Linked DNA regions of Oryzias latipes. The protein of the gene in region 2 interacts with the protein of the main gene of each other region in a pairwise test. Links are inferred from orthologs where the notes say so. Each region holds a gene or a part of one and is shown on either strand. Other genes may lie near its edges. The genes, in order: c17h5orf22 and wbp11.

Region 1 (3,925 bases), on a different chromosome or scaffold from region 2:
GTTTTAAGCACCCCTAAAAACATCAACACCATCTTAATTCTGTCAAAACAATAAGCACGTGTGACCCATAGACTCTTAAATTCTGTCCGTTTCAAAGCTCAGCATCATCTGTGCAGCTGATGAAATTGGGATTCTGACTCCAACAATTCACTTAAAGTCCTTTTTTTGCTAAAATGTGATTTGACATCCCTGGCTCTCCTCGAGCTACAGAGTTGCATTTTACTAGATATATAATAAAAATTCATGAATATTTATTTAAAAGTTATTTAACCAACAGATACTAAAAGACATCTAATATGCTGTCTTTTCTTTTAACAATTGGGTTTTGTTCCATATTAAATTGTTGTCAACAAAACATGAAACGAGCTTCTGCTTTAATAGTTCATTATGTTACTCCTTTTTTTTTCTTTTTTTTTAAACTTGTTCTGTCCAACAGCTGGGCAAACAGATGAGAGCTGAAGGCTTTGAAGATTTATATCAAAATTAAATCCAAAACATAAAGTTCCACAATTTCATTGAAAAAGCTATGACGAATATCTACACGGTTACATGAGAGGACGCGGATGACAGAATAACATGTCTATCAAAAAAAATTCACAATTCATTTTATACTAGGACTCAACTACAGTACGATATGTACAAACAATAACATTTTTTTACATGCAAAAAGAAAATGATACCTTTGACAGTTTGTGTTCCGTTACAACAGTATATTTTACCTTAACAACAGGGGTCATGAATCTTCAGACAAACCAGTGTAACTTTTGTTTTAGAAAAATATTCTGTCTGAACATATTTAATATAAAACATATCAACAACAACATTGACTGTGTTTTAACACACTGACAGGTTGACAAAAACCTGATGTAAAATAAAGAAAAATTCCAAGGTAATTTCTACAAGGATGTAGATTCATATCTGTAAAAAAGCTTACATGGGAAAAATGCAGCATAAATGTGTGGAGAGGAGACGAAAGGAAAAATCCCCCAAAACAATATCCAATTTGTTTAATTTTTGCACTGACCATACTTTTGCTCAAAAAAAATCATGCATAAAGAAAAATTGGATTCTGATTATATTCACGAGAAAGAAAAAAAGCCAGAAAGAATAGTTAAGCCTTTTATACATGATTTGATGAAAGGGTAACTTGTCCAGTTGTGATGATAAAATAAAATCGTCTTAGTTTTTTATTTTATTTATCAGCAGTTAAAATAATAAAAAGTTTAGCAAAAGTAAAATTAAGACGGCATACACTGTAATTTGGACGGCACTGTTTATTATCACCCTGTTTCTACCCGGACACAATAACAGTGACGATCTCACTTTCCCCGCCCCGCGGCATTGAATGTGGAAATTATTATTATTTCTTAATTAGGTGCTTGTTTGTTTTTTTATTATTAAAGGAGGACATACACCTAAGAAAAAAACCGTTGTGTTCACTTTGATATAGGAAAAACTGTAGGTGTTTTCGTGTTTGGATGAGTTCAACGCCGCTAAAGAGGTCGTACCGGGATCTGCCGGTGTGGATCGTGGAGGACCACCACCATGTAAGCAGACAAACATACAAACTTGATTTCCTTAACGTTTATAGCTGTTACTTCAGGATCTATATTAAACCAACAGATGAACAGACGCGTAACTGTAACAACGACTTTAAACTACACCGTTAACCAACCTGATAGCATTTCATCCAAAATAGGCGTGGATATGCTGGAATTACTAGACTCTAGTTAGGGACAGATCTGTATATCACCATTTATTATAATCAATAGAAATAAATGCATATAAATCATCTAAATTCAATGACAGAACACGGCAGGAGTTGTATCATGATATGTGGAGATTTCAATGAACACTCTGGGAGAAAAGAAGAAGAAAACAAAAAACAGTGAGGTCTTTGAGCAATTTATGGATGAGAGAAATTTGGTCCGGATCAATGGTAGGAGGAGGTCACAAATAATTGCACACATAGGGAACATATCAGCACGAGATCTAACACTGTACCGCAAGATCTTGAGCTGACAACACATCAAGGGTGGAAAGTGCAAGGAGACAGACTTTATAGTAATTTTAATGAGGGTTTATGGGGGAAAGGATGTGTGTCAGAGGATAAACAGCGGGTTGGATTTTTGATACACCTAGATGAAATAAAATACATTATATGAGTAAAAAAAAAAAAAGAGAGAATTTGAGACTTTTTACCTCATAAGAAAGAGGCATTTAGGATGATGCAATTAAAGGGTCTAAAGAAGAGCAAACAAATATAGAGAGAAACAGAGGTATCAAGGAAGACCTGTCATTTTAAAATTTAGGAGTATAAAAGATTTCAGACAAAGGTAAGAAAAATCAATAAAAAGACAAAGAGAGCTGGAGAAGATATTGTGCCAAACTAGTCAAACTACCCCAGAAAGTGAACTAAGAAAGATAAAAAGTATTTGAAGAAAATTGAACTTATCCAGTGTGTTATAATTGTGGGGTTTAATAACTATAACTAACAAGAATACATCAGATTTAATAGTTGATGCAATTCATTGTTCAAGGAGGACTTTAAAGCAGTTGATATGAAGTCTCTGGGTAAAAAACAAGTTTCTTATAAAATGCTTTAAAAAAAATCTAATTACTATTCCAACAAGTGATTCCATAAAGGGTTTAAAGATATAGTTGCTGGAAAATTTTGAAACAAATTTGTACATTCTTTTTCATTTTTTACCGCATCGACTCTTGCATAGACACTGTGTGTTTTTATCGATGAAGAACAAAAGTCACATTTTATTGGCCTTCTTTTCAGTCCTTGGCTTTAAAAGTACCGTAAGAAGAATGTGAATTTATCGTATGAAATATCTGCTTTCTGACAGGTGGTGCAGCACATATACAGGGCCATCGCCTCAAGACATCTCCCACCGAGTAATATCAAGATGATTCATTTGGACTCGCACCCAGATCTTCTCATCCCAGTCAACATGTCTGCTGACACAGTCTTTGAAAAAGAAAAACTCTTCAGGTATCGTTCTTGAGTCAAGCAATCAGCCCTTTAGCACTGAATCATGACAAATGACAAAAATCCCTGTACAGGTGGAATGGTTGGAGTGGATACTGCAATATTTAGGGATTAGAGGCAAAGTTTTTGCTGCTCTTCTCAATTCCAGATTATTTGTTTTCCTCCAGTTCTTCAGTTAACAGTGCAGGAAAAACTGTAAAAAGTAAGGACAGCACCGAATGAAGTCTAAGACAGCAGAGCACAATCCTACTCTTGCTCCTGGACTGACCAGGCTTCATGATGTGCTAATGTGGCGAAGAAACAAGACTCCAGTGTTTAGCCTCCTAGGATACAATGTCTTTTGCATTTTGCTGTCCCCATGTCTGTGATGCTTCCTCACTAAGGAAATGTATCTCATCTATTTAGGATTTTTTTTTATTGCTTTCCAGATCAGAATTCAGCGTTTTTCTCATTATACCAGGAAAGGTCTACAGTAGTTTTTATTTTTCTTGCATTGGCTTTTATTTTTATTTCCTTGAAGCCTATTGACACAAATATGCATCAAACCACTTCTGCTCTAACATTTAAAGTTACCTTAATTTAGTATCTACTTGAAAGCAAAAACATAAGTGGTTATTTTTCAAAGCTGATAATAAATTCAGGTATCATGGGGTCAAGAGTGAACTGATTGGACAAAAGCTTTAAAGATCCCAAAGGCCTAGTAAACTGTGATGTTTGCTTCATCATTACTTGAGTTGGTAAATAGATACATTTCAAAGCTAAACAGGCTTTCTATTTTTTTCAGTGAGTTGAGTATTGAAAACTGGATAATGCCCATGGTGTATGCTGGTCACGTGTCCAGTGTGGCGTGGTTGCATCCATACTGGGCCCAGCAAATCCGAGACGGAGAACAGAAAATGTGTGTTGGTCGAGACTCGTCAACCACCA
Region 2 (3,925 bases):
TATCGGGCAAAAATGATGCAAACGTGGGTTCAGAGCTGAACAAACCTGGCGGAGGGCCTGGTGGGGGACCAGAAGGAGGACCAGGGGGCCTCATTGGAGGAGCTGGAGGTGGGCCGAGAGGTGGAGGTCCAGTCATTGGAGGACCTTGCATGGGTGGAGGACCTTGCTGTGCCACATTTCCGGCAGTAGGAGGCAGATTCTGACCAGCCAAAGAATGAGGCTGCTTTTCTCCCTTTGATCCCCTCTCCTCTGTGTCAGAGCTGTCAGATCCATCCGTATATTCTTCCTCTTCTTCTTCGTCTTCATCCTCCTCAGGAATCGACTGACCTGAGAAGAGAAAAGCAGCGAATAGATATAAATATTTAAATATATTGAGAATAAAAGGCAGCTGTAATGCTGTAGAGATGTGGATGTGGCCCTCGTCCTCACCTGCCATCCTCAACATCATGGCCTGCAGAGGAGTGATGGCTTTGCTCTTTTTCACAACTCTTTTCTTCTTTTTCTTCCCATCTCCTTCCGCTGGCATGTCTGCAAAACGCACACTCCGACCTGCCGGGAATACGAGCCGGAGAAAAAAACACAAGACATTATATTAAAAAAAATGCACTCAGGGATGCTGATCAGCATCTTTGTTTCCTTTTTTTTTACCTCTGTCTTTGTTCTCCTCCCTCTTTTTGTCGTCATCTTGCCGCTCGTTGTCCCCTCCTTCTCGCTCTTCCTCGCTGTCTTCCTCAGAGTCGCTGTCATCGTCCCGGTCATCTCTGTCGCTCTCACTGCCACTGTCCTGATCCCTTTCCATTTCCACGTCTCTATCTAAACCAGGAATGGAGGATTCTTTGCAGAGAAAAAGAAAAGGTAAGAGGAGCAGGAGATTTAAAAAAAACACACACACACTGACATAGATGTGTCTGAATGTTACCGGCTTTTGTGCTGTAAGCTCTCCGAGAAGGAATTCCATAGAGAGCCAGGACCTGAGGAGGTGGGGGTCCAGGTGGGGGCCCTGGTGGCTTCTTTCCTGGAGGTAAACGCGGGACACCAGGTACTGATGCCATCACCGGTCCAGTGGATGAAGAAAGAAGTGGCTTGCTATGAAAAACAAAATGAGAACAATAAATAACATATTACATCCCACAGAATGCAGGAAGAGAAACTTGAACAAAACCAACCCAAAAGGGGTCTTCTTCAGAATGGAGGGAGGCTGCGCCCCTGGCAATGGGATGTCTTGGATGTGAATATTTGAAGGAGCGTGGGGCATGTCAGGTAAAGGAATACTGTCGACCTCCACTGACTCGGCATTCTGGAGGAAAAAATGCAAATATTAACACCTGCAACTAGAAAAAAAAAAAAAAAAAAAAAAAAAAAAAGCCAAAAAGACTTGAAATAAACCAAACTGTGTGTGTGACTTGGAGGTAAAACCTAATTTAAAATTTTTCAAAAGGTAATTAATACTTTAAGAAAAGAATAAAGGATCTTTAAGTGAACAAAGGAAGGAAAAAGGATCAGGAAGAACTAAAGCTACCTTCACTGAATCAAAATAAAGAGCCAGCTGGCCTCGCTTGGTCTCGTAGTCCAGTTCCAGTTTGCGCAGCTCCTTGTAAGTTTCCGGGTTCTCCCTCTCGTACAAATGGATGATGCGCTCAAATGTCTCACGCAGCTTCTTCCTCTTGTCCCTCAGTACTTTCTCATTCAGCAGAGGCTGTTGAACTGGGTTAAACTCTGCAGACAAGAAAAAGAATCAAAATGTTATTTTAAATTAGGATGGAGAGTGACTCAAAAGCTTATCCACATGCATGGACATCAATTTATGGGTTATAATACCGCAGTAGTTAATTCTGCTTAACTGAGGCTACATGACTATGTGTGTAGAGAGTCAGCTCAAAGATTAACTTGGGTTCTAGGAGGTTAAAGATGTAAAATAAAGTGAAAAAAGCAAATAGGAGCTGCTTACCCATCTCATCTAGCTTCTCCATATCTCTGATGATCTGTCTGGGATCCTTCATTTTCAACACTGCTGCTCTTACCATCATCCTCTGCTTCTTGTTCTGTGCAAAGAAAAAGCAAAGAAATGCAATCCAGAATAAAATTGTTTAGAAAAAAAAAATGAATGAATAAAAAAAGCCAACAAATATTCAGCTTAACAGTCCAAGTACCTTTTTTAACTCCCTTTTCCTCGCCTCTTTCCCTGTAAGGTAGGTAACACAAACACAAATGAGTCATGTTGACTGGATCTGATCATCACTGCTCGCACGGGTCGGTACTTACTGGCCTGGTCGGTGGGATTCATGAACTTCCCACTCTTGGTGGAGGAGGTTGAACGTCGCCCCATTGTTGCGGTCAGTCTCGTTTAACCTAACCAGTGCAGAATAAACGATGTAATGAGGTAAACAAACAAAAACTACAATCATATTCTAAAATGTGGTTAGAGTGCCTTGATGTTACTGTTTTATACCAAACTGATGGTAAGTTTTATGATCCCACAAAGCTAAATTAATATTTGAAGGAAGTTTAACTGTTTCTCTTTATAATAGTTGAGCTAGCAGGTAAACACGGAACTCTTGGCTCTTATTTTTACATAATTTGGTAAAACAAAGAAGGAATTCAGGCTGCTGGCAAAGCATATCGAAGCAAAAAGCTTGGACTCCAGCAGAGATTCGCTAGCTTAGCGCGTTAGCTTGCACTTGTGGCTACGCCCGTTTTAGCATCAACTGCAACAAATTAGTCAACGCCGCCTCTACCTTTACTTCAGGAAAACCTGGTGGACCACGATGGGTTTGTCACGCTCTCCGTGACACCTAAAGCAAAAAAATAAAGCCACAACCGAAAGAAAACCCAACACTTTAGGGCTAAATGTGTATGAATGCAACGTTAGCCGTCCGCCATGTTTACTGGCGCGGGCAAAAGCGGAAACACGATTTTGACGTCATAAAATTTCAAAATAAGATACTTTTTGTTGAGTATTTTTAGTTTGTTTGAAAGTTTTTGTTATTTGCTAATTTTATGGCCAAACATCTTCTTTTTTGTAATCAAATGCCGACCTTTAGTATTTGCCTGACAAAATAAAATATTTATAAAGTATTTTATTTATTAAAATGTGTGTTTGTTTGATTGTTTTTTGCCATTTTAAGAGAATGGAAACACAATATACTGCCATTGCTAACTACCGAGTACTAATATTAACAATATGAAAAAATGCATGATGATGTGATGTTTAAAACATTTTTAAAAAATAGAATGACATATTTTTCAAGCAATGACAATAACAAGCACCGATTCCAGCCAGAAAGGCCAAGTGGGCAAAATATGTTTAAAAGTGGGCAGAAAAAGTGGACCAGTTCACCGAATGCCCACTTAAGCCAATGTGAGGCCACCACAGAAACTGCAGACAATTGCCCACATTTTCTGCTCACTTTTAAACCATATGGGGCCCACTTGGCCTTTCTGGCTGAGAGCTAGTAGTATTGTTTACATGGAATTGAACTGTTGCTCTTAGGTTTAGTTAAGATTCAGGTTAACTGTGACAGCTCATTTTCTCTTTCTGACTGATGCAGATGGGGAAGCTGCTCATCTAAACGGATAACCTTCCCAATGATGCTGCCATACACCAGAACATCATTGAAGAAGAAGGCTTTGAGCTCCCACGTCTTCATCGTTTTGTTGTGTGTTTGTGGTGGGGAGGTGTAAGAGGAGTGTAAGGGTTGTGGTAAATCAGCTGTTTCTTTAAAGTCCCATTAGCTGCCATGCACCAAGGTGGGGGAAATTCGTTCTCCGGAACAATGTTATCAAGGACAATTTGGTAGTTTAACCCTCCAATTCAACCGCTTCATGCTGGGTGTTGAGCAGGAAGTTATTGGGTCCCATTTTCAAAGTCTTTGATCTGACTCAGCGGTGGATTTGAACTCACAACCTCCACCACAACCCCTCCACC

What was found.
Region 1: the proteins of wbp11 (region 2) and c17h5orf22 interact in binary tests that used the Homo sapiens proteins (3 or more experiments, as listed by UniProt). The two-hybrid records come from large-scale screens. The link is inferred for Oryzias latipes from reciprocal best matches to the Homo sapiens genes WBP11 and C5orf22.

Annotation. Positions count from the first base shown.
Region 1 is NC_019875.2:13,153,378-13,157,302, forward strand, and holds the start of c17h5orf22 (UPF0489 protein C5orf22 homolog), read left to right. Parts: upstream 1-1,300; 5' UTR 1,301-1,478; coding exon 1,479-1,547; intron 1,548-2,855; coding exon 2,856-3,001; intron 3,002-3,782; coding exon 3,783-3,925.
Region 2 is NC_019866.2:20,478,495-20,482,419, reverse strand, and holds the start of wbp11 (WW domain-binding protein 11), read right to left. Parts: upstream 2,903-3,925; 5' UTR 2,736-2,902; intron 2,350-2,735; 5' UTR 2,327-2,349; coding exon 2,263-2,326; intron 2,183-2,262; coding exon 2,151-2,182; intron 2,043-2,150; coding exon 1,949-2,042; intron 1,717-1,948; coding exon 1,520-1,716; intron 1,298-1,519; coding exon 1,167-1,297; intron 1,087-1,166; coding exon 920-1,086; intron 835-919; coding exon 649-834; intron 550-648; coding exon 430-549; intron 328-429; coding exon 46-327; intron 1-45. UniProt on the Homo sapiens protein: Activates pre-mRNA splicing. May inhibit PP1 phosphatase activity.